4 linked regions of the Drosophila melanogaster genome follow. The protein of the gene in region 3 interacts with the protein of the main gene of each other region in a pairwise test. Each region holds a gene or a part of one and is shown on either strand. Other genes may lie near its edges.

The links.
Region 1: the proteins of CG13775 (region 3) and bab1 interact in a two-hybrid assay, tested with the Drosophila melanogaster proteins (one large-scale study listed by BioGRID).
Region 2: the proteins of CG13775 (region 3) and Atf6 interact in a two-hybrid assay, tested with the Drosophila melanogaster proteins (one large-scale study listed by BioGRID).
Region 4: the proteins of CG13775 (region 3) and CG15336 interact in a two-hybrid assay, tested with the Drosophila melanogaster proteins (one large-scale study listed by BioGRID).

Annotation. Positions count from the first base shown.
Region 1 is NT_037436.4:1,096,928-1,105,051, reverse strand, and holds the start of bab1 (bric a brac 1), read left to right. Parts: upstream 1-3,962; 5' UTR 3,963-4,415; coding exon 4,416-5,951; intron 5,952-8,124. UniProt on the Drosophila melanogaster protein: Probably acts as a transcriptional regulator. Required for the specification of the tarsal segment. Also involved in antenna development.
Region 2 is NT_033778.4:5,141,315-5,149,254, forward strand, and holds the start of Atf6 (Atf6), read left to right. Parts: upstream 1-3,418; 5' UTR 3,419-3,516; coding exon 3,517-3,544; intron 3,545-5,851; exon of another isoform or gene 5,852-6,864; coding exon of another isoform or gene 6,865-6,886; coding exon 6,887-7,842; intron 7,843-7,940.
Region 3 is NT_033779.5:6,953,857-6,962,020, reverse strand, and holds CG13775 (uncharacterized protein), read left to right. Parts: upstream 1-5,070; 5' UTR 5,071-5,148; coding exon 5,149-5,403; intron 5,404-5,677; exon of another isoform or gene 5,678-5,713; intron 5,714-5,801; coding exon 5,802-6,764; intron 6,765-6,818; coding exon 6,819-7,436; 3' UTR 7,437-7,566; coding exon of another isoform or gene 7,567-7,628; 3' UTR 7,629-7,664; downstream 7,665-8,164. Other genes in the region: sip2 (septin interacting protein 2), read left to right, coding at 1-126, 191-430; Hmgcl (3-Hydroxymethyl-3-methylglutaryl-CoA lyase), read right to left, coding at 548-1,474, 1,534-1,578; Atac1 (Ada2a-containing complex component 1), read left to right, coding at 1,768-2,838; CG3430 (uncharacterized protein), read right to left, coding at 2,982-3,365, 3,432-3,675, 3,734-4,923; SA1 (stromalin 1), read right to left, coding at 7,567-7,628, 7,694-8,164.
Region 4 is NC_004354.4:8,144,314-8,150,577, forward strand, and holds CG15336 (uncharacterized protein), read left to right. Parts: upstream 1-3,635; 5' UTR 3,636-3,701; coding exon 3,702-4,181; 3' UTR 4,182-4,392; downstream 4,393-6,264. Other genes in the region: alpha-PheRS (Phenylalanyl-tRNA synthetase, alpha-subunit), read right to left, coding at 1-1,182; CG2129 (uncharacterized protein), read left to right, coding at 1,636-3,033; CG10959 (uncharacterized protein), read left to right, coding at 4,585-5,163, 5,232-5,984.

The sequences.
Region 1 (8,124 bases), on a different chromosome or scaffold from region 3:
CCTTTGGCAAATCCTCGTGCGCGTCCTCCGTCTCGTTCTCGTTCTCGTTCTCGTTCTCGGCCGGCTGTCTATCTGTTTGTGTCTGTGGCATGCACCCCTCTACCTGATCCCCGACTGCTCAATCGTGGCCGTCAGCCCCATGTGCCCCATCTGCCCCATTCTGGGGCATGGCATCCAGAGCCCCCTCCTCGATTCGTTTCCCAATCAGACAGCCAGCGGCATCGTTAGCAACGCAACGCAACGCAACGAAACGCGACTCTCGGAGCTCGCCTGCATTTCCAAGTTCCAAGTTTCGTTGCAACCCCGATGGTCAGCAGCTCGGACTTCCACGTCCACTCCTGCCGCCAATCCACCGACTCTAAAACCCTCACACCCCAAACCTTGCATGGTGACTCCCTTTTTAAGCCCTTTTTCATTGCCCATACGCCCTCAAGGGGGTTTTATTGCGCTAGGCATTTTTGCATATTTGAGGCATCATCGCTCATCGCTTTTGTGTGTAAGCCAACTTTCAGACATGGTCGAAGGTAAAACCAGCGGCAGGAGCAGGAAAGCAGCGAAGCAGCAGCTGAGGACGAAGAATCAGCAAAGGGCTAACCCTTGTGCCACCCATTTTCTGCATTCTCTAAGCTGCAACGTCGCCGTTGTCGCTGTTCCTGTTGCTGTTGCACTCTTCTATTTGGCGTTTTAATATGCAACATTTTTTCCCGCTGATCTCCCCGCCGGCGATGCCCCATCCCCATACTCTTTCCCCTCCCCAGTACCCATTTTACCCCTTATGTGTACGTTTGGTCACCTCCATGGTCGCAGCATTTCTCACTGAGAACAAAAAGCAGCGAGATCTCGTACCACATCACTTCTTTGGCTACATTAAAAATGTCGAATTTATTGTACTATTAAAAGGGCCTTCCTTTTTTGAAATAATTTCATAAATGCTCACTCTTTTCTTAACAATTAATACTAAGACTTTAAATTGCATTACCGCGCAGCTGAGATCAACTAAGTCAGTTACTGCATTGTAAGCTTATACATTTTGACAACCAGAAGCCTAGGTTTTCTGCCAGTGCATTCACACTCATGGCAACCGTTTTATTTGTTTGTTTGCTTGTTCGTTCACTCATGTGTGTGGGTCAGACGGCGACCTCTCACCCCCTCCGCAACTTTGTCTGTTTGGCTCAAATGTTGTCATCTTTCCCCGCACACACACTCCACCCCACAGAGCCACCGGCCCACCCATTTTTGGCCTTTCGCAGAGGCTTTCGTCGCTTTTTTGGACATCAGCATCCAGTGGATTCCATCCCACGAACCGGCGTCCACATCTCCACAGCTCCGATGTCCTTTCACGTCCGCGTCATCGTTTTGCTCGTCAGCGTCGTCGTCACCAGTTAAATACATAAATTTTCGTATAAACGCGTTCTGCAGTCGCGAGCCTAGCAGCCATTTCCCAATTTTCCATTTCCCAGCGCCCGCCCCCTTCCCTCTTTTCCACTTTATAGCGGGCAACACAACAGCAAACAACTTAGAGAATGCGTGATGCATTTTCGTGTTGCTGCGTTTGATCCAAATTCTGTTGGCTGCAATTCATTGGTTGCTATAAACACAGTGTTATCTAATTGCATATGGTTTTTAGGGGGAAAATAAGCAGAACTATCTGCAAAGGGTCCTAAGTGGTGCAAGCATTACCACATATAGTATATATAATATATATAGTATAATAGAAAAACAATCAGTTTTATTATTAATTTATCCAATACATAAAAACCATATTCAGTTACCTGAATTCATTCAAAATACTCAAAAGCCTAAAAAGCCCGAATAACTTATGAATTAATAGCACACACACTCATTAAATAGTAGAGATACAAAGTCCAAAACTATTTCAAGGGCTGGCCATTAGAGTAGGCAAAAGTATCACTTAGCGTCATTAAATCACCGGATACGAGTGAATGAAGGCATTAAAAGACTCATTCAGAGATGCCAGATGAATACTGAATATAATCCGATCGATGGATACCTGCCGATCGCGTATTTGTGCCCCTTTATCGCGATTCGCGATTCGATTCATGGCCGATGTTTATTATAATGTAACCAAAATGAAAAGCAGCCGCCATTTGCCAGTCACGAAAAAATTATGCATAATTTATGACTGGCTGTAGTGGACCCCTCTCGCCACCTCTCGCTCACTCACCTTGATATGTAGCTTCGTCCCGCTCGCACTTGCAAGAATTTATTATTTTTGCTAGATTTGTGTTTTTTTTTTATTTTATGTTTCGCATATTATAAATGCGCAAGGCAATAACAAAAATAATCATAAACACATACACGGAATCACCCACACAGAGGCAAAAAACCGAGGCTGACCAGTCTGAAACGATAGTGCCCCGCCCTCCGCCCCTTCGGCCACTCGGCACCCCCCCAAATGCCCATCACCACTACTCATGAAGAGAGCGAGAAAAACTAGTGGAAAACTGCAGGTGCAGCTGAAAGAAAGAGAAACGTCTCTTAGGCGAAAAGCGCCAGCCAACTCTCTCGCGAAAGAGAGAGAGCCAATTCGCCGCACATCTTGATTTCGCCTAAGCATTTGTTTACAATGCACGACTGGCAGCGACGTCGACTGCGAAGAGAGTTTTTCGTGATGGTTTTTCGAAGGGGGGGCTGTGTGGGGTACACCTCGAACGGAACTAATTAATGAAGCATCTTTCAGCCGAGTTTTGTTTCTCAGTCGGATGAGGTGGAATGCGTGAGGGAGAAAGAGTAATGGCTTGGGAAGAATAGAAAGAGAGAGGAATGTGCTTCGAAAGACCTAATGATCACTAATCTGCACTTCTCGCAAAATGCTCATACTACAAATGTTACAAGCAATTCATACATATGAATATCGATTTCCAATATTCTAAAAATAATTAAAATATTTTATTTAATAATTTTCAATTTTTTCAATTTTTTCACTTAAATTTAAGCTTTTAAAAGAACCCTAATAAGATATATAATATCCATCACCTAAATAATCGGCAAACTCAGCACTATTTTCGCCGCATTCCCAATTCCTGAAGACCACCTAGATGTGTTCCTCTATTTTGTGCCAGGGGTACTGGTCGATGGGGCTCGTCCACACCCTCTCCTGCCAAGCACCTCCGAAAAATATTAGGCCTAAGCTCGAATCCGCACTCGCACTCGCACTCACAATCGCAATCGCAATCGCAATCGCCGTCGCTCTCCGCTGCATTTTCGGGGCAACTTCCGTTTCCTCACGCACGCACACTTGCCACTTGCCACTTGCAGCGACGCATCCTTTTTACGCAACGGTAGTTGTGCGGCGGCAAAGCGCCAAAATTTTGGGGGTTGCAACGGCGAGAGGCCGAGAACGAGGACGAGGACGAGTTCGAGTGCGTCGAGCAGGCCGACGAAGGACGAAGGACGAAGGACGAGCGAAGCCGATTCCGATGTTGAGCTCGAGGAGAGCCAAAACGCAGCGCAGGAGCAAAGGAATGCGGTGCCGTTAGCCGGCGTTTTTTGGCGCCTACAGCTCGCCGTTTTCAGCCATTTTCAACGGGCTCGCCGCTGCTTCGGTCGTTGTCTCTGCCGTCGGTTCTCAGCCAAGCGGCGCTGCCTACGTCGCATTTTCCTTTCGCAGCGCCGGCAGAGCAGTTCGCGAACTATTCGCAACTTCGTCGCGAACTCAGTCGCAGCCTGAGAGCAACAACTACAAAGCAGTAGCAGTAGCAGTTGCTGCTGATGTTGCTGTTGCTGCCGCTTCTGCTGTTGCCGTTGCCGTTGCTGCAACATCAACGTTGCCCCTCAGCTTTCCACAGGCACAGGCACAGGCACTGCCACAGCCACAGCCACAGCCGCACATCCACATCCACATCCACGTCGTCGTGGGCCATCGTCGTCGTCGTGTGTTAAGTTTGTTTTGAGTTTTTCCGTATCAAAATGTGCAAAACGATTTCAGTCTAATTCAGACGCTCGTGCTGAGAAGACTTTTGGCCCTGTTTGTTGGCCAATACAGCCATAGAACACTGAAACCGAAACAGAAACAGAAACGGAACTGAAAGCACACACTGAATAACACTGGACACGACGACGAGAACCGAATCGAACTGAAAGAACGAGGCGGCGGGCTAATTGCCAAATGGCCACGTAGTGCGCGTAACGTAACGAATACGTTAAACACCCATACACACACGCCCAGACACACACACACACACACACACACACAGAGAGACAGAGGCACGCACACAGATACGCACATGTACATGCCCACTCTCAGTTGAGCGTCGTAATTGTCGCGGATTCTTTTGAATGCTTATTCCTTAAACGCTATGTGAAGAGCGAATCGCGTAACGAATAACGATCGCGTAACGTTTACGATCGCCGGTGATCCAACGATCAACGATCAACGATCAGCTGCAGACAAAATGGCGTCGGCGCAGGCGGAGACGAATGTCGGCTTGGCGTCCGAACAGGGACCAGTGGCTCAGAGGCAGCGCAAAGGGACGGGATCGGGCGCCGATTCGCCCAAGAGTAACAGAAGCTCGCCCACTCAGCAGGAGGAGAAGCGTATCAAAAGCGAGGATCGCACTTCACCAACTGGCGGGGCCAAGGACGAGGACAAGGAGAGTCAAGGTCATGCTGTAGCCGGAGGGGGAGGATCTTCGCCCGTCAGTTCGCCACAGGGCAGGAGTTCTTCGGTAGCCTCGCCCAGTTCCAGCTCCCAGCAATTCTGCCTGCGCTGGAACAACTATCAGACGAACCTGACCACCATCTTTGACCAGCTGCTCCAGAACGAGTGCTTCGTGGACGTGACCTTGGCATGCGATGGTCGGTCCATGAAGGCCCACAAGATGGTCCTGTCCGCCTGCTCGCCCTACTTCCAAACACTTCTGGCCGAAACGCCCTGCCAGCATCCCATTGTGATCATGCGGGACGTAAATTGGTCGGATCTCAAGGCCATTGTGGAGTTCATGTATCGCGGCGAGATCAACGTGAGCCAGGACCAGATAGGTCCTCTGCTCAGGATAGCTGAGATGTTGAAAGTGCGTGGTCTGGCGGATGTGACCCATATGGAGGCGGCCACGGCAGCAGCGGCTGCCGCTTCGTCGGAGAGAATGCCCTCCTCGCCCAAGGAGAGCACTTCAACTTCCAGAACTGAACACGACAGGGAACGGGAGGCCGAGGAGCTGCTGGCCTTCATGCAGCCCGAGAAGAAGCTACGCACTTCGGACTGGGATCCCGCTGAGCTGAGGCTCTCCCCACTGGAGCGGCAGCAGGGCAGGAATGTAAGAAAGCGCCGGTGGCCATCGGCGGACACAATATTCAATCCACCCGCACCACCCAGTCCACTGAGCAGCCTGATTGCGGCCGAAAGGATGGAGCTGGAGCAAAAGGAAAGAGAGAGACAGAGGGACTGTTCGCTGATGACACCCCCACCCAAACCACCAATGAGCAGTGGCTCCACAGTGGGAGCCACGAGGCGCCTGGAGACCGCCATCCACGCCCTGGACATGCCATCGCCGGCTGCCACGCCAGGACCTCTGTCCCGATCGTCGAGACCTCACTCGCAGAGCCCCCAGCAGCAGCAGGCACAGCAGCAGGGTCAGCTTCCTTTGCCCCTGCCCCTGCATCCGCACCATCACGCATCACCCGCCCCACATCCCTCCCAGACCGCCGGATCAGCCCACCACCCGGCATCGCCTGCTGGAGATTCCCGTTTTCCCCTCGGCCCAGCAGCCGCCATGGCCGCTGCCAGGGAACTGAGTGGCCTGGGACCAGGTCCGTCCGCCGAGCCACGCCTTCCGCCTCCACCGCCGCACCACCATGGCGGTGGTGGAGTGGGCGGCGGGGGAGTTGGAGGAGGAGGTGCAGGCGGAGTGGGTTCAGGCGGGGGATCCTCGCTCGCCGATGACTTGGAGATCAAGCCAGGGATCGCCGAGATGATCCGAGAGGAAGAAAGGGTGAGTGAATCTAAGCAACTTAAATTTCACGTTTATCTTTGTATTTCATCTTCCTTAAAGATAACTTTCGTACTTTTGTTTTCAATTATTCATATGTTGTGAATCGTTTTCTAAGTTAGTACATATGCCAGTTAAGAGAAGACTCTTCAATTCTGCAATTCCAATTCTACAAAAAGAGAGGCAGAGAGAGAGAGAGAGAGAAGCGCGCGGTGGAGCTCTCTTCTGCTGCTGCAGCGCTGTCACTGCGCTGTCGCAGCGCTGCTTCCGTCTATATCTCTCTCCCATTCATTATCCGATCTTTTGCCTCGGTTTGTTTTGATTCACGATTCGCGCGCCTTTCGGCGATCTTCAATCTTCGGCTGCGAATTCTGCCGGCGGCATTTCGCCTCGTGTCGTGACGTCACAGCGCGGAATGCGGAGCTACGGTCGCAGCGCTCTGTGGAACTCCCCACCCCACCGCCAGAGTGGCCATTGCCCGGAATGATTGACAGCATTCACGTGCTCCACGTTCCACGTTCCATTGTTTGCTCTCCTCGGCCGCTCTTTCTTCCCGCAGAGATTTGCTCCACATAGTATTTAGTACCCCTTCTCAGGTCAGATCCACCGATTCTTGGGTTCTCGGGGAGCAGGCACCGGAACGCTTCGGTGACCAAGAGGTGATTGAAATTCCTGTGGCCTGCGGTTGATTTCGATCTATGGAGCATTTTGTGACTTGTTGTGGTTCCCTAAGTGTGCTTCAATTAGGGCAACGACGGAATGGGTCTGCACAGAAAATATCTGGGGCTAAAATCGATAGATTCATTATTTGGATTTTTTATGTATTTTTCTCTTTCTGAGATTGAATCATTATGATTGCATAAAAATATATTTTAAATTTTGAAATGCTGATATTGAAAATTAAAAAAAAAATATTAAATATTGATCTTAAGATGCGCTTGCAATATACATATGAAGATATCTATAGTCCTAATGCGGCTTTGCTTCATAATTATATTTCAATAAGTTCACTCCAAACATTGTATCTGAATATTTACGACTATTAAAGTAAGCTGGTAGTTTTTGTCAGCTTAGCTTAGCGACCGGTTCGATTTGGACTGCGACTGCATTAGCACCGAGCTCACCGCAGAATTCGCACTTTAATAAAAATTTGTATTTATTTATCCAATAGACGTCGACGACGTTCACTCAAGAGCCCAGATCTCTGGCGATGGAGCTCCATTCACCATTCAGAGTCACATGCATTCGATGAGGAGTTGCCCGGTCCGGGATCAATCGGAATGCGATATTTGTTTGTCTGGGCGCAGAAGAGATCCCAGTGCGACTCCTTTTCTGGCCGGTTCTTGGCCATGTTCCATGTTCCGTGTTCCGTGTTTATTGTCGCTTTCGAGTGCATTAATCAAATAGCCAGCTATGCACACATGTGCATGTGCATTAGCCTGCTCATGTGCTCAATTTTTGAAGCCGTCTGTCTGTCGGTCTGTCGGTCTGTTTGCCTCTGATCGCCGCGGCGTTGGCTCGTTAGCGTCTCTTTTCAATAAATATTTTGTTTTTATGCTTTTTTAAATATTTTCCCAACTGACCGTTTGCTTTGCTTTTTATGTGCTTAGAAATTCTTTGGAAAATGCATCTGCATCTGCATCTGCATCTGAATCTGAATCCGCCGCGGCATCTGTATCTGCATCTTTGTTTGTTTGCCTGGGTATTAGTGTTGCCGGCCGTGTTTATGCTTTCCCGCTGTTTGCCTTTTCGATTGTTCTCCTCATTTCCCCATCACCGTCATATATTTCCCAACGTTTATTCACACATTTCATTTATTATTAAAAACTGATGCATTTTTCGTTGCTTCGCGGCAATCGCAGCAAGGCAACGCCACAGATACACCCGAAAAAAATGTGCAAACCTTTGTAATTTCGATATATACAAAATATGAGTATGAAATTCTGCCTAGCCAATGAGCATTATGTTTTGAAATTATAACTCCATTGTTTAGCACACATGAAAATATATCCACGTTCATTTCGATACAGGTATTCACTTTTCCACGTGTAAAAGTCAAATATTGATGGGCTGCATCCTCGGCCAGCGATTCACCAGCTTCTTTAATATTTATAATTCCTTCCATTTATATTTATATGTTTGTGTGGATGCACCTCGACTTACTCCACCTCCTCCG
Region 2 (7,940 bases), on a different chromosome or scaffold from region 3:
GGAGATAAAAATTCCAGTTCGGTTTGTGGGCGCTAGAGAGGGCTGCTAAAAGTTTTGGCATATCGATAAAAAAAGCAAGTCCAATGATAAAATCGATAATAACTGGAGCTGTTTTCAATAGTGGGGTGACAATTTTGTGGGCGCTTAAGTGAGGATGGTAACGTTATGAAATAACATTTTACAGCGTGGCGGCCGTCACTAGAATCAGCATCTCAAATCTTTCTAGCTTTTAGAGTTCCGGGGCACTCTCTTATACGGACGGACAGACGAACATGGCCATAGCGACTCGTATAGTGATTCTGATAAGGAATACGTATACTTTATAGCTTTTGATTCGCTTTCTACCAAAGACCCTAGAATAACAAGATGCGTAACGCCATACGATTTTTTGGCACACGATTTTTTGGCCGTGGCTCTAGAGGTGGCTCCAGGCTCTCTCGAATTTTTGTTAGAGAGCGAGAGAGCGAAGAGCGCTACAGCGAACAGCTCTTTTCAACGCACAAAGTGATAGCAGACAACTGTATGTGTGCACACGTATGCTCATGCATTGTAAATTTGACAAAATATGCCCTTCACCTTAGAAGTGATCAGCGAAGACTCTTGCTCTGTCCGTGTCACTGCGAGACCAGTTTCCGGAAGAGTTACGGAGAGGTACAACCGTGTCTGTTGGTGCCTTTAGGTTCCTGTGGTCTTTCCACAACGAGTTTTTTGTTCCTGTGGGCGTGAGATTCTCGATGTACCTTAGTAGTGCGTCCGCTTTTGCGAGAATCTGCTTCTAATTATTCTTTGCGCCACGTGATCTGTGCTACTGCCACTCCCTTCGAAGTCCTCGTTTTTCAAGCACAAGCATTTCAATATTCATTCAACTTGTCTTGTTAAACTTTATCCTGCTTACATGGTTGTCTTGTGGAGTTAACGCTTTTACTGCTGCGAAAAGTATTGATTCTATATCACCAGCAAACTGATCAATGTCTTGCTCGGTTGCCAGGGGTTAAAAAAGCCGGTATGGGAACAACATATTTTTTGTACCTCGCCCAGTTGGTCCTATTGCTTGTAAGCCTACACGGTCGCTCCAAAGACACTAGAATAACAAGATGCGTAACGCCATACGATTTTTTGGCACACAATTTTTTGGCCGTGGCTCTAGAGGTGGCTCCAGGCTCTCTCGAATTTTTGTTAGAGAGCGAGAGAGCGAAGAGCGCTACAGCGAACCGCTCTTTTCTACGCATACAGTGATAGCAGACAACTTTATGTGTGCACACGTATGCTCATGCATTGTAAATTTGACAAAATATGCCCTTCACCTCAGAAGTTCTTAGACTTTAAATCTATATTATTTTTGATCAATTGGCACCATGCGAAAAATTCTTGTTTTGCATTGCCTTAACGTTATTATTATTTCAAAATAGATTAGAAATAGCCAAATCTATGTACATATTATCACAAAAATAAATTTTTATTTTTATTTTTAGAGTATTCATCTTGCGGCGTGTGAAAAATTAATAAGGCAATGATTGTTGAGTGCTTGTGTCCGCACTTCGTGCCTCAAGATATGAACAAAGCAAAGACACTAGAATAATTCTAGTTTCTTTGATATTACTTTTGCAATAAACAGTTATCATATTTAATTATTTAGTATATTTATTAAATCATTTGACTTAATATGATGTAACATTAACATTAAAAGTGTTTCAAAAAAAATATTTCGCTTTTAAAAAATTGTCAGATGAGAGACAAATTAGAATTAAACATAAATATAAATGTGTAAACGGTAGCTAATTCGAGCGGCGATTTTAACAAACAAATTTAAAAAGCTTTAAAATTATAATAGTCAGGGCGCGAATTTTTAAAAATTTTTTTATTTTATCATATTGCTAGGAAATTGGCAAAAACTACCCTAATATGTACCATGTAAATTCGTTTCTTCGATCAGAATTGATTTCGGCCCGAAAATCGTCTTCTAGCACAACACGCACACTTATACGCGTTCTCGTCTCTTGTTTTTACTCACACAAGCAAGCAAATTATATTTTTAGATTTCTTACGCTCTAAGCGGGAGTGAGCGGAAAGAGAGTAATTTTGGCCGTCACCAAAAAAGTGGCTGCATAGTGCCAAACCAATGTATGGCCGTTACGCATCTTGTTATTCTAGTGTCTTTGCTTTCTACCTCTTATAGTACATACATGCCTATGAATCTAGTATACCATTGCACTATGGGTAAAAAACCGGAAATTTTTGTATTAATGTAATATTTTTGTGATTGATATTTTAATGCTCCTTTCATTTTTTGATTTCTAAGTAACAAGATAGCATAAAAAAAATGTTTTAAACCTTTTTACGAGTTATCGTTTATTTTTGGCGCACTTTCAAAGTCAGCTGATTCAGAGGTGCTTTGAATTGCGAAAATGGTCGGAAAAAGTTGAACAAATGTGCAGCGTAAACATTGTCTTCATAGCAAATTTGGAGTTTATTTTTAATAATGGAAAAATGGAGCAACAACAAACGCGATGCAGACGCTATTAACAGTTATATTGTGGAAAATATACAAGAGAACTTTGAGACTAAAGAGCAAAAGATTACCAAATAAGCAGGCTGCAGAATAAGGGCATTCAACTCCACTTCTCGTACATGCTGCTTCATTTTCCGGAAAACAACGAAGCAGGCAGAAACGGCCTTTATATTGAAAAAAAGGGAATTGAAAACATACATAATATAAAAAAGAAAATTGAGACAAATCATTCTATTAAAATAAGTGCTGAAAACGCTTTAGCTTTCCCAATTGAACATGGATTTACAAAGTAGCAATATAATAATATAAAACCGCTCAATAAGCATAAAGGATGCGATATTTTCCATCCTTATTCAAAAGTAGCAGAAGCAAGGATGGATAACAAATATAAAAAAATTTTGACTTTTATTTCATAAAATTGGTTTTTGTATCTTGTGTCTTCACTTCGCTCCCACGCCAATCCTTCGCCCACCATCCATCTCCCTTGAAACCCGCTTTCATATGTATATAAATACATTTTTCACTTTATATTCAAGGATTTTTTTGGTGGGCGGAGATGAAGGCGTGGTCAGATCAAAAAATAAACAAAATCCGAAATTCTATTTAAATCTTAATTATAAACATAAAAAAAATCAAGTCGCTATCTTTATAATTGTAATTAATACCAAAATTCCCGGCTTTTTACCCATAGTGCATTGTACTCTACAACTAGTGGATATAAAGCTAAGAAGGTAAAATCCGTCCTCAGTAGATGGTGATTAATAGTTTTTTGTGATAGTTTTGAAACTACTTTTTTATATCGATATTTCTTAGGAAGTCTCAACCGCTCCGACGGATGTGAAAAGTACACTTACTATATAAGCCTAAAATGTGAAATTACTATTATAGTATATATTGATAATTAATATTTTAATGTGCCAAAACGTCGTGTATTTGCTGACGTTTGCTGTGGTAATCAATTCTGGTTCAGTAAACATATTCAATTCGAATTCTATGGCCGATTAGCTATGGACATCAATGAATATAATTTATACAGTAAGTTTCCTTCTCGTCAGTGACAAGCAAAGCAAGTTGAAAAAGTCTTGCCCTAATATCTATTATCAAATTCATCATATGTATGAATATGTGTAAAATGTGAAATGAGTGGCTGGCACCCTAATTTTTTCTGCTTTAGAATCAGCGAAATGGAATAAAAAATAAAATGTATATTAATGTATGTATTAAAAGAAATCGATTGAACAAAGGTTAAGAGAAAAACATAAAAGGGAAGTACGACATACGATATTTGAATAATAAACAACAATATATAAAATTAAAAGATTTCTTAATAATTAAAAATTCGCGTCCTTATCATTACTGTCTATCAATAAATCTTATAATTTGCTGACGCATTGCCATACGTAAAGTGATAGCTTATTTCGTGCAGTTTAAACAGGACAACCTTACAAAAACTTTGTCCCTTTCTTTGATAAGTTGATAATACCATATGTATCTTGCAACAGTGTAATTTTTTTCGATTCCTGCGTAAGTTACTCTTGTATTCTCAAATTTTTGCTATCGGAATGTTTAGTAAACAGTTAACAGCTGTTTAAGCTGTTTTTCAGACAATAGAGCGGCCCATTCGACAGTTTTAATTATTCACTGCAATTAAGTTATTAAATTAAATAGGATTTTTTTCGAACAACACTTTTAGTCATCCTTTTTAATTTATTAATGAATTATTTTATATTTTATAAGTATTTTTATTGCCTGTTTCGTTTCACCAACAGCCTTTGCGATAAATTTTGTCGACGTATGTATAATAAACAATTATAATAATACAACGTCGCCGCAGGAGTTTTGAAAGTATTTCATATTTTTTTAGTCTTGTAAGTTTACAATGGTTTGATATTTTAAATTTTTTCATTTAATTTTTTCCTGACAAAGTTAGCTAATTACAATAACAATGATATAAATAACAATTAAATAAAAATGATATAAGTAACATTTAACTACATAACAATTATGAGATCATCATCTCCTGGCTCTCGTCAAGGGTGACCTGTGGAGCCTTCTGGGTGGGCGACCTTTGTTTAGTGCCTTGGCTAGGATATTTCTATACCGCTCTAACGTGTCGTGGTACCGGCTAGAGTGCATGTTTATTGTCTCGAAGACAGTGGCTAGTTTGAGCTCTTTGTTGTTGTGTTCCTTACGAACCAATCGCAGCCGGTAATCATCCTGGCGATTCTGCTTTGGGGAGCCTGAATACGACGGATTTGGCTGTCGCAGGCCAAGCCCCAGATTTGATAGCTGTACCTCCATATTGGAGCTATAATTTGCTTGTAAATTATCACCTTGTTGGATAGTGACAATTTACTTCGCGAATTTATAAGCCAAAAATGGTGCACGCATACGCATGCTTCGAGAAGGTGAGTCTCCTATCCAGGATTTTTTTTTTAAAATTAATTTATTTATCAAGGCATACGGGGAAATCTTGGAGCCCCTTTGTGTCCTTCTTTTCTATTAATTCAGCCCATTTGGGCGCGTCGGCTAACTATAGTTAGCTTTTTCAAGTCTACAGTAATTTTACTACAATTACATAACAATCACATATAACAAATAGGATTTAAGATAAGCGTCAGCTTCTGCTGACCCTTGTCAAAGGAGATCGGGAAATGAGATCCTCGGTTACCTTCTATTGAGCTTCCTTGGTGGGCGAGGTCTGCTTAGAGCGCTAGCCAGCCGATTTCTGTGGCGCCCCAAGCTGTCATGGTATCTACTCGAGTGCTGCTTTATCTCGTCAAATACCGTTGCGACTTTCAGATCTCTGTGCAGGGTGTTGTTTCGCACAAACCACTCGCAGCCGGTGATGAGTCTTGCGACCTTATTTTGGATAGCCTGGATCCTTTTGATTTGGCTGTCGCATACCAAGCCCCAGATTTGCCACCAATACTTCCAGTTTGGTGCTAAGATCTGTTTGTAAATTGTCAGCTTGTTGGATAGCGACAATTTACTGCGCGAACAAAGTAGCCAATAGTGCTTCGCCACCTTAGCACGTAGGCGCGTTCCGATGCCGGTCACATGCTTGGCATATGTGAGTCTGCAATCCAGAAGCACTCCAAGGTACTTTGCTGCGTTCGGCTGTGGTACGGGGGCTTCCTCGATGTAGACGGGCGGTGGCGTTCTCCGTTAAAGTATAGCAGACGTTGTTGGATTTACTGCTATTGATGCCAATGTTCCAACGTCTTGCCCATTCCGAGAACCGGTCTGCAAAGTCCTGGATACCATCGGCTGCGTCGTGCTCGCATCGGGACCTGTAGGTGACGCACACGTCATCACGCCAACATTGATTTTCCGTAAAGGCTTACATCCGGCTGCGGCATGTCGTGGCTATACAGGCAGTAGAGCAGGGGGCCGAGGACACTACCTTGTGGAACACCAGCTGCCACTTTGTGCTCGGTGGAAATTGCTTAATGAAAGCGCACAGCGAACCTCCTTCCTTCCAGGTACGACTTTAGCAATCCCAAATATGGAGCAGGCAGCGTCTGCTTGATTTTTAGTTGAAGTCCAATATGCCACACTCGATCAAACGCTTCTCGAATGAAGAGGCTGTTACAATATTCCTTACTGTCGTAGGCAGTCAGAATTTTCTCGACGACCCGAGGGAGCTGCTCGACAGTACAGTGGCCAGCACGAAAACCGAACTGGTGCTCAGGGGTAATCCCCCGGGCTTCCATAATCCTTACAATCCGGACAGCAATCAGTCTCTCAAACACCTTAGAAATTGAAGGGAGGAGACTGATCAGCCGGTAGGAGGCGGGCTCCCTTTCCGGCTTGCCAGGCTTGTGGCTTGTGAGCACACATTCGCTGATTTGTCACCATTGATACCATGTTCCAGCGCCTTGCCCATTTCGCAAATGTTGATGCAAAGTCCTGGATGCCATCAGGAGCATCTTGTTCGAAGCAGGACCTGTAGGTGACACACACGTCATCTGCAAATGTTTCCATCATTGACGTCCCGGGTAGGCTGGCGTCTGACAGCGGCATGTCATAGCTGTACAAACAGTAAAGCAGAGTCCCAAGTACATTTTCCTGTTGTACTCCGGCTGCCACATCATGCTTATTTGAGAGAGACGAATGAAATCGAACTGCAAACCTTCTCTTTTCGAGTTTTATTTCTCCTGGCCGATTTCTACCGATATACAAAAAACAATTTGCCCATGCCTCAACACTGTCATGCCCACAGTTTTTTACTATTTGTTATTTTGTAATTTAGTTGAGTAACGGGTACATGATAGTCGGGATACCCGACTATAGCATTTTCTTATATTCCTGTAATATTTTTAAGATTAATAATATTTTATTCTTTAAGACAAATGACGCCATGTTTATTTTCAGACGATTTATCGCTGTTGGGAGAAGTGACTGAAAATAACTACGACAATAATATTGTACACGACATTCTGAACTCATCAGCATTCTACAATGATACATCGTTAGATCTAAGTGAATTAATACCTGATCTTCAAAAAGAAGCCTTTGGATTGCATTTCTCGTCAAACCCAATAACTTCAGAATTTAGCTTGAGTTCCCCGATTTCTGGTTTGAAACAAATTCCTTCAGCGTGTTCTGGTGAATTTAAAAGAAATGTAAATGACAATAATTTTCAATTGGATCTTACCAACAGTAGAAATGATTTACCTGAGCCTAATTCGTCTCCCACAAGAAGCTTAAATCGTTCAAATGTAAATGGATGTTCTAACGAAGAGGCGGTCTATCCACTCTTAGTCGATTCAGATAAGTTTGATCCATTTTTTGAACCTGCTAAAGTTCGGAGCCCCAACAAAGAATTCAACAGCACGATTTCTAATCTATCAGATATAAAAAACGAACTTCCGGAAACTTCCCAAGACTTGGGTTTTAATTCATATAACACTTCAAGGAATAATTCAACTTTAACCAAAAGCTGGCCAATAAATACTGAGCTGAATCTAGATAATCAAGTTCCAAAAACAGTTTTACCTTTGTCAAGGACAATTTATTTACCTTCACATGATTACAAAGGGCTTTTGCCAACAGTGAAATGTAACGGTGATAGAACCTTAAAGAAAAATGTTAATGTCAGGTCTAAGATTTCTAATATCGTTATTAAGAAAAAAAATGCAACTTTTATACAATCATTGAAAGAAAGCACTCCATCACATACAATGGATGATAAGATCTACAAAAAATATCAACGTATGATTAAGAACCGAGAGTCTGCTTCCTTATCACGCAAAAAAAGAAAGGAGTATGTTGTTTCATTAGAGACTCGAATAAATAAACTTGAAAAAGAATGCGATTCCCTAAAAGCTGTAAGTACTCTCTTTCAGTTTAAATAATAAACTTACCTATTTTTACTTGTCATTCGAAAGCAAATTTGGTAATTTAATCTCATTCCTTCTTAACATAA
Region 3 (8,164 bases):
GCACTTTTCGCAACAAAGGACGAAACACCCAAGTCCAGTGAAGCGGAATCTTTAATTATCAATGGAATCGATTCAGCCGCTGATCTGCTTCCCAAAAAGGCTTACATATCTTCCGAAATCAAGCATGTAAGTTTAAATTTATATATAAGCCATGATGAGTGAACGTAAACTAATACCTTCCATTGAACAGGTGGTTGATGAACGAACTCCTTTGCCCATGCCGAAGGTACCTCAAATTCAAAAATACCTCAACTCCGCCGTGGAGCCTACTGTTATGCGCCACGATGGCAAAATGAAAATGCCCGGCGAGGCAGTCCGCAATCCGTCGTCTTCGCATATCCCACGACGCGCCAATCACAGCCTGGCTGATCTGTCGCTCGCCTCAGGCGACGTGTCCTTATACACAATAAGAGATGCCCAAAAGTTTTAAGGCCCATAAAAGTACTTCACGCTCCTTGACTAAATATTGCAACGATAATAAATGTATTGTGTAACTAGTGCTAGTAAATGCCTTCGTTTTCGTTTGATAGTATCAATGCTTGCATCATCACTTAACTCGCGCCTGCGGTCCCTTCCACGCTCGATTAACCTTGGACTCTGAGGTTCTGCCCAGTTCGGTGCAGATGTACCGCCCCACTTGGATCAGTTTGTCTAGGTTGACGCCAGTATCGAGGCCCATGCCGTGCAGTAAGTAGACCACATCCTCGGTGGCTGCGTTGCCTGACGCCCCCTTGGCGTAAGGACATCCGCCCAAGCCAGAAACGGAAGAGTCCACCACCCGAATGCCATAGTCCAGTGAGACCAGTATGTTGCTCAGAGCCTGACCATAAGTGTCGTGGCAGTGCACGGCCAGATCTTTAGCCGGGACGACCTTGGTCACCTCATCCAGCATTCGGCGCATTGTGCCTGGAGTGCCCACACCAATGGTGTCGCCCAATGAGATCTCATAGCAGCCCATTTGGTACAGGGCTTCCACCACTTTGACGACAGCACTCGGCGCAACAGCACCCTCGTACGGGCAGCCAACCACGGTGGAAACGTAGCCCCGGACGCGCACACCATGCTTTTGGGCTGCTTTCAGCACAGGTTTAAATCGTTCGATGGCCTCAGCTGCCGTGCAATTAACGTTCTTCAGCGAAAACGCATCAGATGCGGCTCCAAAGACTGCCACCTCCTCGGCTCCCGCCTCCAGAGCACTCTCGAATCCCTTCAGATTAGGCGTGAGGACTGGATAGCTTATACCAGTCACTTTGCGGATTCCTTTCAGCACTTCGGCATTGTCGCCCATCTGTGGCACCCATTTGGCGCTCACAAAGCTGGTGGCTTCTATGGTTCGCAGTCCTGTTTCGGACAATTGGTTGATCAGCTCGATCTTGGTGGCTGCCGGCAGGAGTTTGGGCTCGTTTTGAAGACCATCCCGCGGTCCAACCTCCACAATTCGCACCTGATTGGCCGCGCTTGTAACCGCCGTGCGCTGTTAGTTTTAAAATTATTAAAATATTGTCAAGTGCGTTCGATTTTCCGTGAAATTACCTTTGCTGTAAGTGCAAGGATAGAGCGAATTGGTGCACTTATCATTGCTAAATTTGTAAATAAACGTTACGTATTCCGCTTCTTCTTTTTTCGCTGATAACAGCTGATAATGATCCAAGATCGATATGTTGCTAAATTTCGATAACTGTTTTGCTTAATGAGCTGCCATCTCTAGCGCAGAGGCGTAAACACATTTTTTGTATACAAACGGGTATTTGGTGCTAATTCTTTGTAATGGAAATAGCAGAGATATCTGCAGAAGATGAGGATGTGTTTCACTTTGAGACCGAGCACCTGGCCCTGCGTGGCAACCAGTGCTATACCAATTTGCTGCGCACTTTGGCCGTGCTGCAGGCACAAAGGATTCGGGTGCATCAGCAGATTGAGGAATTGGAAGCCACACAAAATATCTACTTGGAGAATCCGCAACATATGCTGGACAAACTGCGAAACAACGAGCCTTTGATAGCGGATAATTACATCACCACGACCGTTCTACCGGACTTGCCAACTCTGTCGCCCAATGACGAGGAAGGGGGCACAAATGAGACACCGACCGATGCGTCTTCATGGACGCAAGAGGCGAACAAGAATCGGGACAGGAGCAATGGACGGTCGGAGAATTTCAATCGCTTGTGGACCAACGAAGAGCAGAGTCGCTTGGAGCAGCTGCTCATCCAGTATCCGCCAGAGGAAGTGGAAATGCGCAGATTCGGGAAGATAGCGAAGGCCTTGGGCAACAGAACGGCACAGCAAGTGTATAGTCGTGTCCAGAAGTATTTCCAAAAGCTGCACGATGCCGGAATGCCTGTGCCCGGTCGCATACCCAAGCATCGACGTCCTGGTTTGAGTAAGCCGAAGATCAAACTTCGCAAGTCAACCTTCTTCCCCGCTCATAATATATCGCTACAAATGCCAGAGGACGATTTCACATTTGACGACCTGCGAATCCCATCGCCTGCGAGCGATATGCTCCTTATGCCGGCATCCAAGATCGAACCAAAGATCGAATCCGAGTACATGGATGCCGATCTGAATGCGGAGTCAAAGCGAAAACAGGAACTATGCCTTAAGCTTCTATCAGCCATTCAGGACGAGAAACGGGAAATGGAGGACGGATATGAGCCAGACTTGCTGGCCGCCAAGTGTGCCGAGTGCGAAGAGGCATCTGTGACCAGGACCCAATGGCGTTGTAACAGTTGTTATTGTTACCTTAATCTGTGCGGAGATTGCCTGGCCAGTCAGCTAATCGAAGGGCGTTTCGAGCATTTAAGTCATGAAGTTGTAGTGGACCAAGAGTCATGACGCTCCTAGAGTCCCATTTACTTGAGTACTAAATTACTAGACTTGCCTGTAAAGCTACAAATTAAATATAAAGAGAATAATTTTAAAAAATTCTATTTTATTTATAAAAACTTAATATTAAATGGTATAAAAGAGAGGCCCTCTTAATTGCGCAATTGGGCAGATGATTTCGGCAGAGATTGAATACGCTGGCGACGCTTTGCTTCGAACTCCGTAGCCAGCTGCCATGTTTCTTTGTCCAACGTATCCTTCCCCCGGGCGATGCCCAGCAGCCGTGAGAGGACCAGCAATCCATGCAGATCATCGGCATTACTTTTGACATTAGCTTTACGCATGTCCACGAAATCCTGCTGGATCATTTCAGTGTGCTCCTCGCTCACGTTGAAGCCGCTAGTGCGCGCTGTGGTCAAGTACTTGCGAAACTGCTGCAGACGTGATGGCTGCAGATAGTGGTGGGCTGCCTTTAGAGATTCATCAACAAGTTCCACGGCCTTAGAATCGGCATTAATGGGCAGCACAAAATCGCTCTGAAAACATATCATTAATAGTTTCTATTGGATATAATGATTATTTATATAAACTTATATTCTTACCGGCAACATACTTCGCCCTTCACTGAGCACGAGAACTGGAATATTTGCTTGGTAGTCTATTTGGTAATACTGAAAGTCGCACTTCAGTTCCTGATTATTGATCAAGTGCGCTAAATGCTGAACGGCATGAACACCATTGGCCTCCAGCTTGCCCTGTTGCATGCACGTCTCGTCGAGCACCAAATGCGTATGGGGAGCCAACTGTAGTACGCCGGAAACCAGCTTGTTTGTCTCATAATCCTTCCTGCAAGTACTCATTAATAGGTATTCAATTTTATACTATTTCTGCTTAGCCAACTTACTTTGGGGCAAAGGCTGCCGTGTTTAGTGTGACGAGAGTCATGGGCATGTAATGGCTGGCCGGCAGTAGCAGCTCCAGAATTTGATACAACTTGGTTGCATACGCCTCACAATTCTTAGGGAGATTACAAAGGTTAAGGGCGAACTTGCCGATGCTCTGCATCTCAGAACGACTGTAGACCGTAGATATTAGGTGGGAGAGCAAATACTCGGCAGCCAGATCGTCATCAAAGAGGCAGAGTTTAAGAAGCATGCGCAGATCTTTGTGCACAGCAAGGTGGGTTGGATACGTCTCCTCACATATTTCCGTTGGCTGTCGAAGGCTTTTGTCCAGCAGCGGATTGGCATGCGGCAGCACCTGGACTCCGAAGGCATGCAGGCGGGGTATAAGAAATGGCGATGGATGAGCTGCCTGCAGTTCACTCAAGTTTTCACAATCGTCTATTTCCAGGGTAGCGGCGTCTAGTGAAGCATCCACTGACAGAAAGCCCACAAAGTCGACCAGCGAGTTAAGCTGGTAGGTATCGAACTCCTCGTAAACCTTTACCATGCATGCCATGCTGGGACGATCCGGCAGAGGCGAGTTAATCAGGTAATCAGACCCAAGAACAGAGGATTTGGAGGCGCCGACTGGCTCGCTATCTTTTTGAATCTCTTTTAGGCAGGGTCGCTTGAACGTTGTTTCGCTCGCAACGTCCACATCCATGGCTTCTTCTTCGCCTACAATAGTCCGCTTCTTGGCTGAACTGGGAGATTGACCCAGACTGGCCAAATCGATCTGGGGACAGCACAGCTTCTCATGCTCCTTGCTCCAATCGTTCAGACCAGGCACAGAGACCACGAACATGGTACGCCTCTCTCCATGCACGTTTCCATCGGCGTTGTAGTCAATCACTTCGCCATTGGCTATTTTCAAGCAGTCCCTGTACTTTCCTTCCTGTACACGTTTGCTGCCGTCGGCGGATTTCACTTCGTAGCGCTCCAGATAGATTTCTGGGTCCATCATGTCCTGGATCATTCCACGAAAGCGCACCAGAGTCTGATCCTTCAGCTTGTGAAGAGGCGTGTAGTTGAGCAGGGGAATCGAGTGCCAACGACTGGGATCCTTGAGCAAGTCCTTGAGTGCAGCGCTGTCCGCTTGCTGGGCGGCCAGTTCATCGGGCGTGCTGGGCAGCTCCATCGCACAGGGCATTATCTAGTTAACGAATGAATTTGCAAATGCCTCAAAAACCTCGAATGCAAAAAACAACAGCTGCTTTGGCGCGCCAAAAACTGATTGCAGCATATTAGTGATGGTCATCGATGGGCCTATCGATATCTGCCAGGGATGTCGAACTCTGCCGCAGAACGGATGTAGAGGCGGATGTGGACATCCGCAAAAAATGTACAATTTGAGAATTACCAAAGAATTGCAGCGATGAGCAAGAAGAAAAGCAATGTGTGGCAGTACTTCTACAAGACATCCGGCACAGTGGCCACCTGTCTGCTGTGCAACAGGAACTACTCGAGGCGAGGACGCGGCACAACATGTCTGCGGAATCATCTGAAGAGCAAGCACCCACCGGAGTTCCTATCTCTATCCGGGGACATAAAGTACCTGGACCTGGTTAAGAGCGAGATCTCCATCGGTTCGCCACAGCACCCCACAGCCCAGCTAGAATTGAATCTGCACGTAAGTGGGATAGCATATAGATGTGCATACATACCTATGTACATGCATATGTACTGTGCAAGAAGTGTACCTTATGTGAAATCGGGGTACATGCCCTTCTAGATATTCTGTCATGTGGAGATGGTTTCCCCAAACTTAAGTTTCCATTCAAATATAGTTTCTTTGGTAGTTCATAAAGTAATTTATGCCTTCTCTTATTTAAAACTTTTTACTAATATAGCAACAGCGGATGCGGATTTTTATCCGCGTTTGGCTAGATCGGCAAACATGTGTTGTGTTTATAAAGTGTAGTTAAGGAGGTTTTAAAAATGTACTGTTATGGTCTTAGTATTATATTTTTATAAATTATGCGTTTTTCACTAATCTGATGCATTAAATTATTCTATTAATCATTTTAGGAAACAGATTCAGATCCATTGGACACCGAGGATATATCCTACAGCAAACGCTGTGATGAGAAGTTGGCCCTCATGCTACTAAATCACTCCTTTGAGTTCATTGAAGGACCAGGATTCGTAAATTTCATTAGGACGCTGCAGCCGCGGTACACGATTCAACCAAGGAGCTACTATGAGAAGATACTGTGCGAGGATATACAAAGGAAAATGCATCAGCATTTGAAGCAACAGGTGGATCTGCTGGATGCCATATCGTTGTCTACGAGTCTCTGGCGTGGTGACAAAGGCGAAGGACTGCTGAGCTTGTCCTGCTCCGGAATATCAAGGGATTTTCAGACTCACCGCCTAATGCTGAAATGCGAGGCTCTGAATTACGAAAGCACTTCGAAGCTAGCTTGTTGCATTCGAGATCTTGTGCCCAGCTTGGCCATTGAGGTGCCCAAAGAGAAGATACACTGCGTAATCAGGGACGAGATGACGGCGCTGCCAGGTTCCCTGCCCGATTGCAGTGTGCACCGCCTGCAGATGTGCGTTCGATTTGCTTTGCAATCGAACGAATTACTGCAGAACCTTTCATCCAAGTGCAAGCAAATAGTTGACCATTTTGCGTCGTCTAAGATGGCCAACGATCATCTGAAATTCATTCAAGAGATCCGCTTGACGCGAGACCCGTGCACACTTACACCTTACGATCCCTGTCAATGGAATTCCGCTTTTCAGATGATGAGCAGCGTGTTTCGAATGAAAGATGCTCTATCCTTGTACTGCGAAGAGTATAGTCTGGTCCAAATATATCCAGATGAATGGATAGAGATCGATTTGTGCAGCAAAGTAATGCAGCCTTGTGAAGAAACAATCAAGATATGGAGCAATCCATCTACGACCACCTCATCCGTAATCCCGCTGGTTGCCGCTTTACGGGATTCCCTCCGAACAGATGTCCATAACTTTGTCTCATCTGTGGTAAGTTGCAGTAGATAAAACCATAAAGTATTGTCTAATATTTCGAATGTCTAGACTATATGCAGTTTCGCCAGAAAGTTGCTTGAAGAACTGGAAATGAAGTTCGCCCACATCACTAGCGACATCAACTTTTTGATGGCCACATATTTGGATCCGAGATATAAGCAAGCATTTTTCACCGAACGTGAGGAGCAGTTGGTGGCCAATGAAGTTCTGCTTCAGCTCGCTGGAGTGCCAGAGGATTGCAATGGTCAGCCACCGCTGAAAATAATCAAAGTGTCATCCACATCGTCCCAGAAGAATGAATCAAAGATCGATAGCATTCTGGATAGCATACTGACAACTGGAACGACGAACACTCAACAGCCAAATACGTCAATGGGCTCCCAGTCTCAGATTAAGAATCTGCTATATCTATACAACTCCGAACCCAGAATCGATAGGAACATGGATCCCCTGATTTGGTGGAGGAGCAACATAAAATACATATCCTTGTATGGCATTGTTAGGAAATTCTTATCAGCACCAGCAGCAAGTGTGGTTAGTGAAGGCTTATTTAGAAAATCAACGCACTTGTATTTCGACATGCAGGCGGGCTTGAGCCCCGAAAGTGCATCCAAAATGTTGCTCATGAAGGCCAACTTTAGCTTTAGCAATTCGGAAATCAATTAGGATACAGTAATTTATATAATTTAAACGTATTTATGTACATAATATTAGCTTTAATCTTACAACTACTTGATTTTCCGGAAAATTAGATTTTGCACTTAAGCCGCGTGTATGGCTGATTGCCTGATGGGTCCTAGCCCCTGTAATCAGGATCATTGTGTTCCTCTTCGTCTTCCTCCTCCTCCTCTTCTTCATCTAAATTAAAAACATGTTTTTCATAATGTTGATTCTAAATAAAATGAAAGCTATGAAATTCTTACCATGATCTCGACGTTTACGTGTGTAGGCTCGTTTGCTGGCGACGGGCGCTTGATCAGTTTCGCCATGTAGCAAGGAATTGCGATATAATATCAGCGGCTGCCATTCCTCAGCTCGGCTGGATGGCATTGCGGGTGGTATTATCTTGTCCAGAAAGCTCATTATGACCTTCTTGTCTTGCTTCAGTAGCTTGTAGTTGAACTCGTTCAAAACCTCCAGGAAGAGCAAGCGAGTTGGAGCCCGCACCGGATCATCTGGCTCCTTGTTCGCAGCGAAATAAATGCCACCACGATGAATGGCGGCCACAGATTCGCGATTCTTGATGGCATCGAAACCAAATGTGAGCGCAAATCGCTTGGCCAACTCCTTGAGGTCCACAAACTCTTGCGAACTCTTTGAAACTATGCCATCCTCACTCTGCTCCTGCAGACTCTTAAAGACTGTGATCAGGCTCAAAAGGAGCGTCATAGCGA
Region 4 (6,264 bases), on a different chromosome or scaffold from region 3:
GAACTCGTACAGCGTGCCAATGAGATCGCCCAGCGTCAGACCAACATCTGCAATCACGCCCTCCACCTGATGGAACTCCGCCAGATGTGTGGCGTCCAGTGTTTCGTTGCGGAACACCTTGTCGATGCTGAAGTACTTGGCTGCTTTGAAGCCGCCCTCCTGGTTGGCCAGCTTGTACAGCATCCTCGCACTCACGGCCGTCGTATGCGTGCGCAGTAGATTCTTCTGCGCCTCCTCCAGCTTCCAGTCGTAGCCGTAACCCTTCGATCCATAGCCACCCACAGAGTGCACCTTCTTCACGCGCTCCAGATAGTCCTGCGGAAACTTGTGGCTTTTGGCCGGATGATTCACGAAGAAGGTGTCGTGGGCATCGCGAGCTGGATGCTGTTGCGGCTGATAGAGCGCATCGAAGTTCCAGAATGACGATTCCACATAGTTGTTCGTAGGCATCTCTGAGAAGCCCATCTCGAGGAATATCTGCCGGAACTCAGTGCGCACTTTGAGCAAGGGATGGAGATGTCCACGCGTTGGTGGTGCACCCAACGCATCAAAGTTATAGGCCTTGAACTTGAGCTGGTCCCACAATCCATTTGCGAGCATTTCCACCGTGAGATCCGTCTCCAACTTGGTGAGAGTGGTGGCAAATTCAGGGCCGCGTGCCAGCACGAAGCTCTTGGTGGTCGTTTCCTGGAGGAGCTTGCGTTTCTTGAAGTCGGCCACCTCCTTGGCAGGCAGCTGGTCACCCTTTCCCAGCGCCACCTGCTGCAGTTGATTGCGCACCACATCCGTAATGGTGTCCACCTTGCGGCGCACCAGCGGCGGCGTGACGCTCTTGTCCACCAAAATCCAGCCGTGCGACATGGCTTTGCTAAAGCCCACTTTGGCATTTGCGCCACCGGCTGCCATTAGAGCCGCCTGGGCGATTCCCTCCGGCGGAACTAGGTCGTAGACCAGTGCCTCATGACTGCCATTCTCCACGACGGCGCGACCCTCGTCTGTGAGGCCCAAACTCTTGTGGGTGACCGTTTCCGCGGTGACTAGTTCGCCATGCGCCTGTATGCTCTTCAATGAGCCCACAATCTTCTGGTGATCCTCGGCAAAGAGTGCGGCCAGGTCCAGTGTGTCCGCCTTGTCGGTGGTCTCCAAATGCTGGAGAATGCGCTCCGTGAGATCGGGATGCATAGCTGGCGGTTCAATGGTTGTATCTTTCAAGGAAATTCGGAATTTCAATACCGGAATCTCGTGTTGCCACAACGCAGCCTATCGGAGCTATCGTTCTTCGATAACTGCGTCTATCGTTCGAAACGACGACGGTGGCTAAAAAATAGCCAATAAGCTTAAAATAGCTATAATTATATCTAGATATTGGAAATTTGTATAAATATTTCAGCGAATAGTAAGATATGATACTTTTGTCACTAACATTTCAAAAGTAAATGAAATAATAATAAAGATGTCTCATATAAAGAACTGGTTTCAACTCGGTTTATTTTTCCGCTTACCATCACAGTGGCACCTCCAATAAAAACAGCTGTTGACGCCAAGACTAAAAGTTTGCGTTCCAATTAGAACGGCGAATATATTCGAAAAAAGGAGCAAATCCTGGGGAGCAACGGCCAGGTGGGAGCCGCAATCATGCTCAAGTCCCTCAAGCCGGACACGTACGCCGGAATGGCGAACGCCAAGTGCGGCGAGATCTACTTCCAGAGCCTGCACAGCTTCCGCATCGACTGTGCGTTCTGCGAGATGAAGAGCTTTGTGTTCGGAGACTTCCTGCTCCACGTCCAGAACATTCACTTCGAGAACGGCCTGCTGAAGACGGAGGCAACGGACGCCGGTGCGAATCTCAAGCAGGAGCGGGATCGTGAGCGGGAGCCTAACTCGCCGGTGCCCATTGTGGCGCAGGTGAATCCATTTGCCTGGTACGAGATTGGTGGCGATCACAACGAGGACAGCGACGATGAGCGCGTTGTCCTGGAAAAGCAGGATGAGGACGAAGATGAGCGGCCAGGCAGAAGCATAATCAAGTGGCAGGACCATCAGTCGCTGACCAGCGAATCTCTACGTCAAGTCCGAGCCCTCAAGGTGGACTACAAGGAGGAAGACTCCGAGCAGGAGGAGTGCGGCATGGAGCTGGATCTGGACAGCGAAGGCAGGCACTCTGCCAAGATTCCGCACTCGTGTCCGCACTGCACAAAAGTTTACCAGAGCCGCAAGGTCCTCGAACGCCACATAATGCGCCAGCACAAAGACACTCTCTCGCCGGATGTGGACAGCGAGGACGCGGACTACGAGCCGCCCAAGGATGCGCCCGTCAAGTCCGCTGCCCAGGAGTACAAGTGCGAGCACTGCGGCAAGATCTACCATGGCAAATACAGTCTGCGTCAGCATTTAAAGCGGGATCATGACAACGGCGAGGAAGGAGGCTCCGCCATCTTCACCTGCCTGGAATGCGAGGCCCAATTGCCGCGCCTGCGCCTGCTGGACGAGCACATGGTGCAGGCGCATGGCGGCGCTGCCTGTGTGGTTTGCGGGCGGCGCTACAAGACGCGACACGAACTGAAACGCCACCAGCTCAAGCACACCAGCGAACGGAACGTGCCCTGCCCGCATCCCGGCTGCGGCAAGCGCTTCTTCACCATCCGTCATATGCGCAATCACGGCAAGGTGCACACGGAGCAAAAGAACTTCGTCTGCGAGAGCTGCGGCTACAGCTGCCGGAACAAGGAGACGCTGCGCGTCCACATCAGGAGCCACACGGGCGAACGGCCGTTCGGGTGTCAAGTGTGCGACAAAAGATTCCCCTCCCATTCCGGCCTGCGAGAGCACATGGCCATGCATTCCACGGAGCGACCGCATGTGTGCAGCGTTTGCGGTGCGACCTTCTCCCGACAGAAAGGCCTCTACCACCACAAGTTCCTGCACGCGGACACCAAGCAGTTCGTGTGCAAGCTGTGCGGGAATGCCTATGCCCAGGCCGCCGGTCTCGCTGGACATATGCGCAAGCACCGGAACGACGAGCTCAACGGATAGGATCCGGATCACCGAGGTCGTAGTCTAAGTTGTACGTTTTGTATCTTCCAATTCCGACGTTTAAGTTCAGGAACTCAGGCATAGGCTATATATAGGATTACCATAGAAATCAATGGTTTTTTGCATTGCTCCGGCATGGAGCGGGTATCATGTGACTCTTCGGTCCTCGTTTCACGGGTTTCCATCGAATTTATTTGACACGCACTGTAAATAATATCCCTAGTTTTAGATAAACTGAAAGTTTGTTAATCTGTTTCGAGTGAACTTAGTTTGAGGCAAATTTAATTGGCTCGATTGTAAGTACTAAGACTAAACTACATTTCCATGAATTTTCTAAACTACCAACTCAAATAATAACTAAACTTTGTTAAGGTTTAAACTATACATTAAGCACACAATGCTTCCAAGAACCAAATCGAACGCCGTAATCTCGGCAACCGGATGTGGCTAGTATTCGAATGGTTAACTTTTTTGTATTGATAAATATACATAACATGAATTTGATTCGCAAAAGAGAGCCCGCGTTTAAAATTAGCCAAGCGATTTGGTACCTTTGACAGCAATTAATCGGTCGACTGCTGCTAAAGCGGCCAAATGCCAAGATGGTATTGGATGGGGTGCGTCTAACAATAGTGCCGACGATTAGATTTGGCACACGCGGACCGACCATGTCGGCGGAACGTCCAGCTGCCAGCTCCGATAATCGGCGACTTATGTGCGAGTTCTGCGGCTATCGGACGCGCATCTATTGGAATCTGCAGATCCATCGTCGGCGACACACCGGCGAAATGCCCTTCAGTTGCCAGCAATGCCAGGCGCGTTTCCCGGCCAGCTATCAGCTGAAAAGCCACTTGGAGCGGCACTTGGACGCCGGCGAGCGACGCCAGCGGCACATTTGCACCGACTGCAACGTGGGTTTCTCCAGTTCGCGGGCCCTGTACCATCACCGGACGCTCCACGAGGATGGGAAGCGCTTCAAGTGCTCCCAGTGCGACAAGTCGTTCGCTCAGGCGGCGGGCTACGCCCAACACAAGCGGATTCACCGCCAGAGGAACCAGCGAGCCACCGAAACCACGGATCTGAAGGATCTGCAGATCAAAAGAGTGGTTTCAAGTGTTTTTCATCGGCGCGAGTTTAACACTGCATAAAATTCAGTGGAGTAATTAACATTTTATTTTTGTGTCATATTCAAATTTAAAAAAACCGGGTAACCGATTCGTTATTTCAACTGAAGTGCCTTATAAATAAAACAGGCAGTATCACTTTCTAAGAGTCTGGTAACAAATTGGTAACACTTGAGAGGAGCATATTGCTTAGCTATTTAATATACATAGATCAAATATAATTAATTTTGAACTTAAAATTTATTTTGTAGTTTATTCGGTCAAACGGTTAGTTTGGTTTGAAACATAGCTGAATGGCTGTGAAATCAGTGCTGGTTTGAGTCTGCACTAAATGTCTATCGAAGTCGATCGAAATTTTGTTTACATATTTTATTTTAATTTTGGTAAATAATATTGCAACAATTTTAATGTAAATAAGAATCAGAAAATGTTGAGACACTGCCTCGCCAACGTCGACTACGTCCGCCTGCACGCCCAGCAGCAGTTGCGTCCCAAATGCGGCGAGATCTTCTACGAACCGGAGGCGAATAGATTCCAACTGGTCTGCCTGCTCTGCGACATGAAGCACTTTGGATTCGAGGACTTCGCCCGCCATATCCGTAATGTGCACTTCGACAAGCAGGGCCGACCGCTCACCAAGACGGTCACGGGACTGGGCAGACTAGCACGAGAGGAACAGGAGTTCCAAGGGGTCAGCGCAGAACCATTGGCTGTGGACAGCTTCAAGAAAGAGTACCTGCCCAACGAGGATGTTCTGTCGGAGGAGGAGGACGCGGAACAGGAGCTGGGACTGGAACAGGACGAGGGCAATCCACTACGCATCATGGTGCTCGGGGGTAAACAGTCCGTGGACGAGGAGACCATCGATACGATGTGGCAGCCGGATCATGACAGTTCCTCCGCATCCGTCAACGAGGGGTGCGCTCTGGAGGCTCTGTTGGGCGTGGAAAATCCGCAAGACTATCAACCGGATGAGGACGGGGAGGAGCACCAGTCTGTTTTTAAGGTAGAAAAACTGTAGTACGTGCACTTGAAGAAGGAAATCCAATATCTGAATATGTTTTTTCCCTGCAGAAGCAGCGCCAACCAAAGGACTACAACTGCCCACACTGCGACAGGAGGTACACGACGCAGAAATACCTAAACACCCACCTAAAGATGAGCCATCCGTTTCCGCAGGCCTTCAAGTGCGTCGACTGCAAAGCCACCTTCGATGTGGACCGAGCATTGGCCCAGCATCGTCGCAAGGAGCACACGGAGTTCGCCTGCCAGCTATGCGACAAGGTGTTCAAAAGCTCGCGATCCCTTCTTCGCCATGTGCAGGGTCACTCCGGCGCCAGGACATTCAAGTGTGAGCACGAGAACTGCGGCAAGTCGTTTGTCAACCAGCACAACCTCACCTCGCATCGGCGGGTCCACAGCGAGGAGCGGAACTACGTGTGCGAGCTGTGCGGCTATAGATCCCGCTACCGGGAGGCGTTGATCGTCCACCGGCGCACGCATACGGGCGAGAAACCCTTCCAGTGCCAGACCTGTGCCCGCCGCTTTGCCTCCAAGTCGCTGCTCAACGAGCACCAGGCCATGCATTCCACCGAGAAGCCCTACAAGTGCGACAAATGTGATTCGGCCTTCTCCCGCCCGAAGGCGCTCTATCACCACAAGCATCTGCATTTGGGCATCAAGAAGTTCAAGTGCAAGATCTGCGGTAATGCCTATGCCCAGGCGGCAGGTCTATCCGCTCATATGCGAGCGCACAAGCTCCAGGCGTCCGTAAATGCGACGGAGGGTGCCGAGGCGGAACCCATCGAGATGCTTTTCACCTACTGACCGAACTGAGTGGAAACCTCCTGTCGCCTTAAGCTCTATTTCCATATAACTCAAGATATTCAAGATACACCACAAACAATGTTCACTGTTCTAGATTTTATAGATAGCTTATCAATGTTTATGGACACCCGACTCTTTCGTTCCAACTTTTCACATATATATATATATCTGTAAATAGTATTAGACATTTTCCAATCTAAGGCCGCAAATGTTCTTTTTTAATTTAAGTGATGAAGCCTTCCATTTCTGTGTCTCAAAAATTAGTACCTACATATCAGTA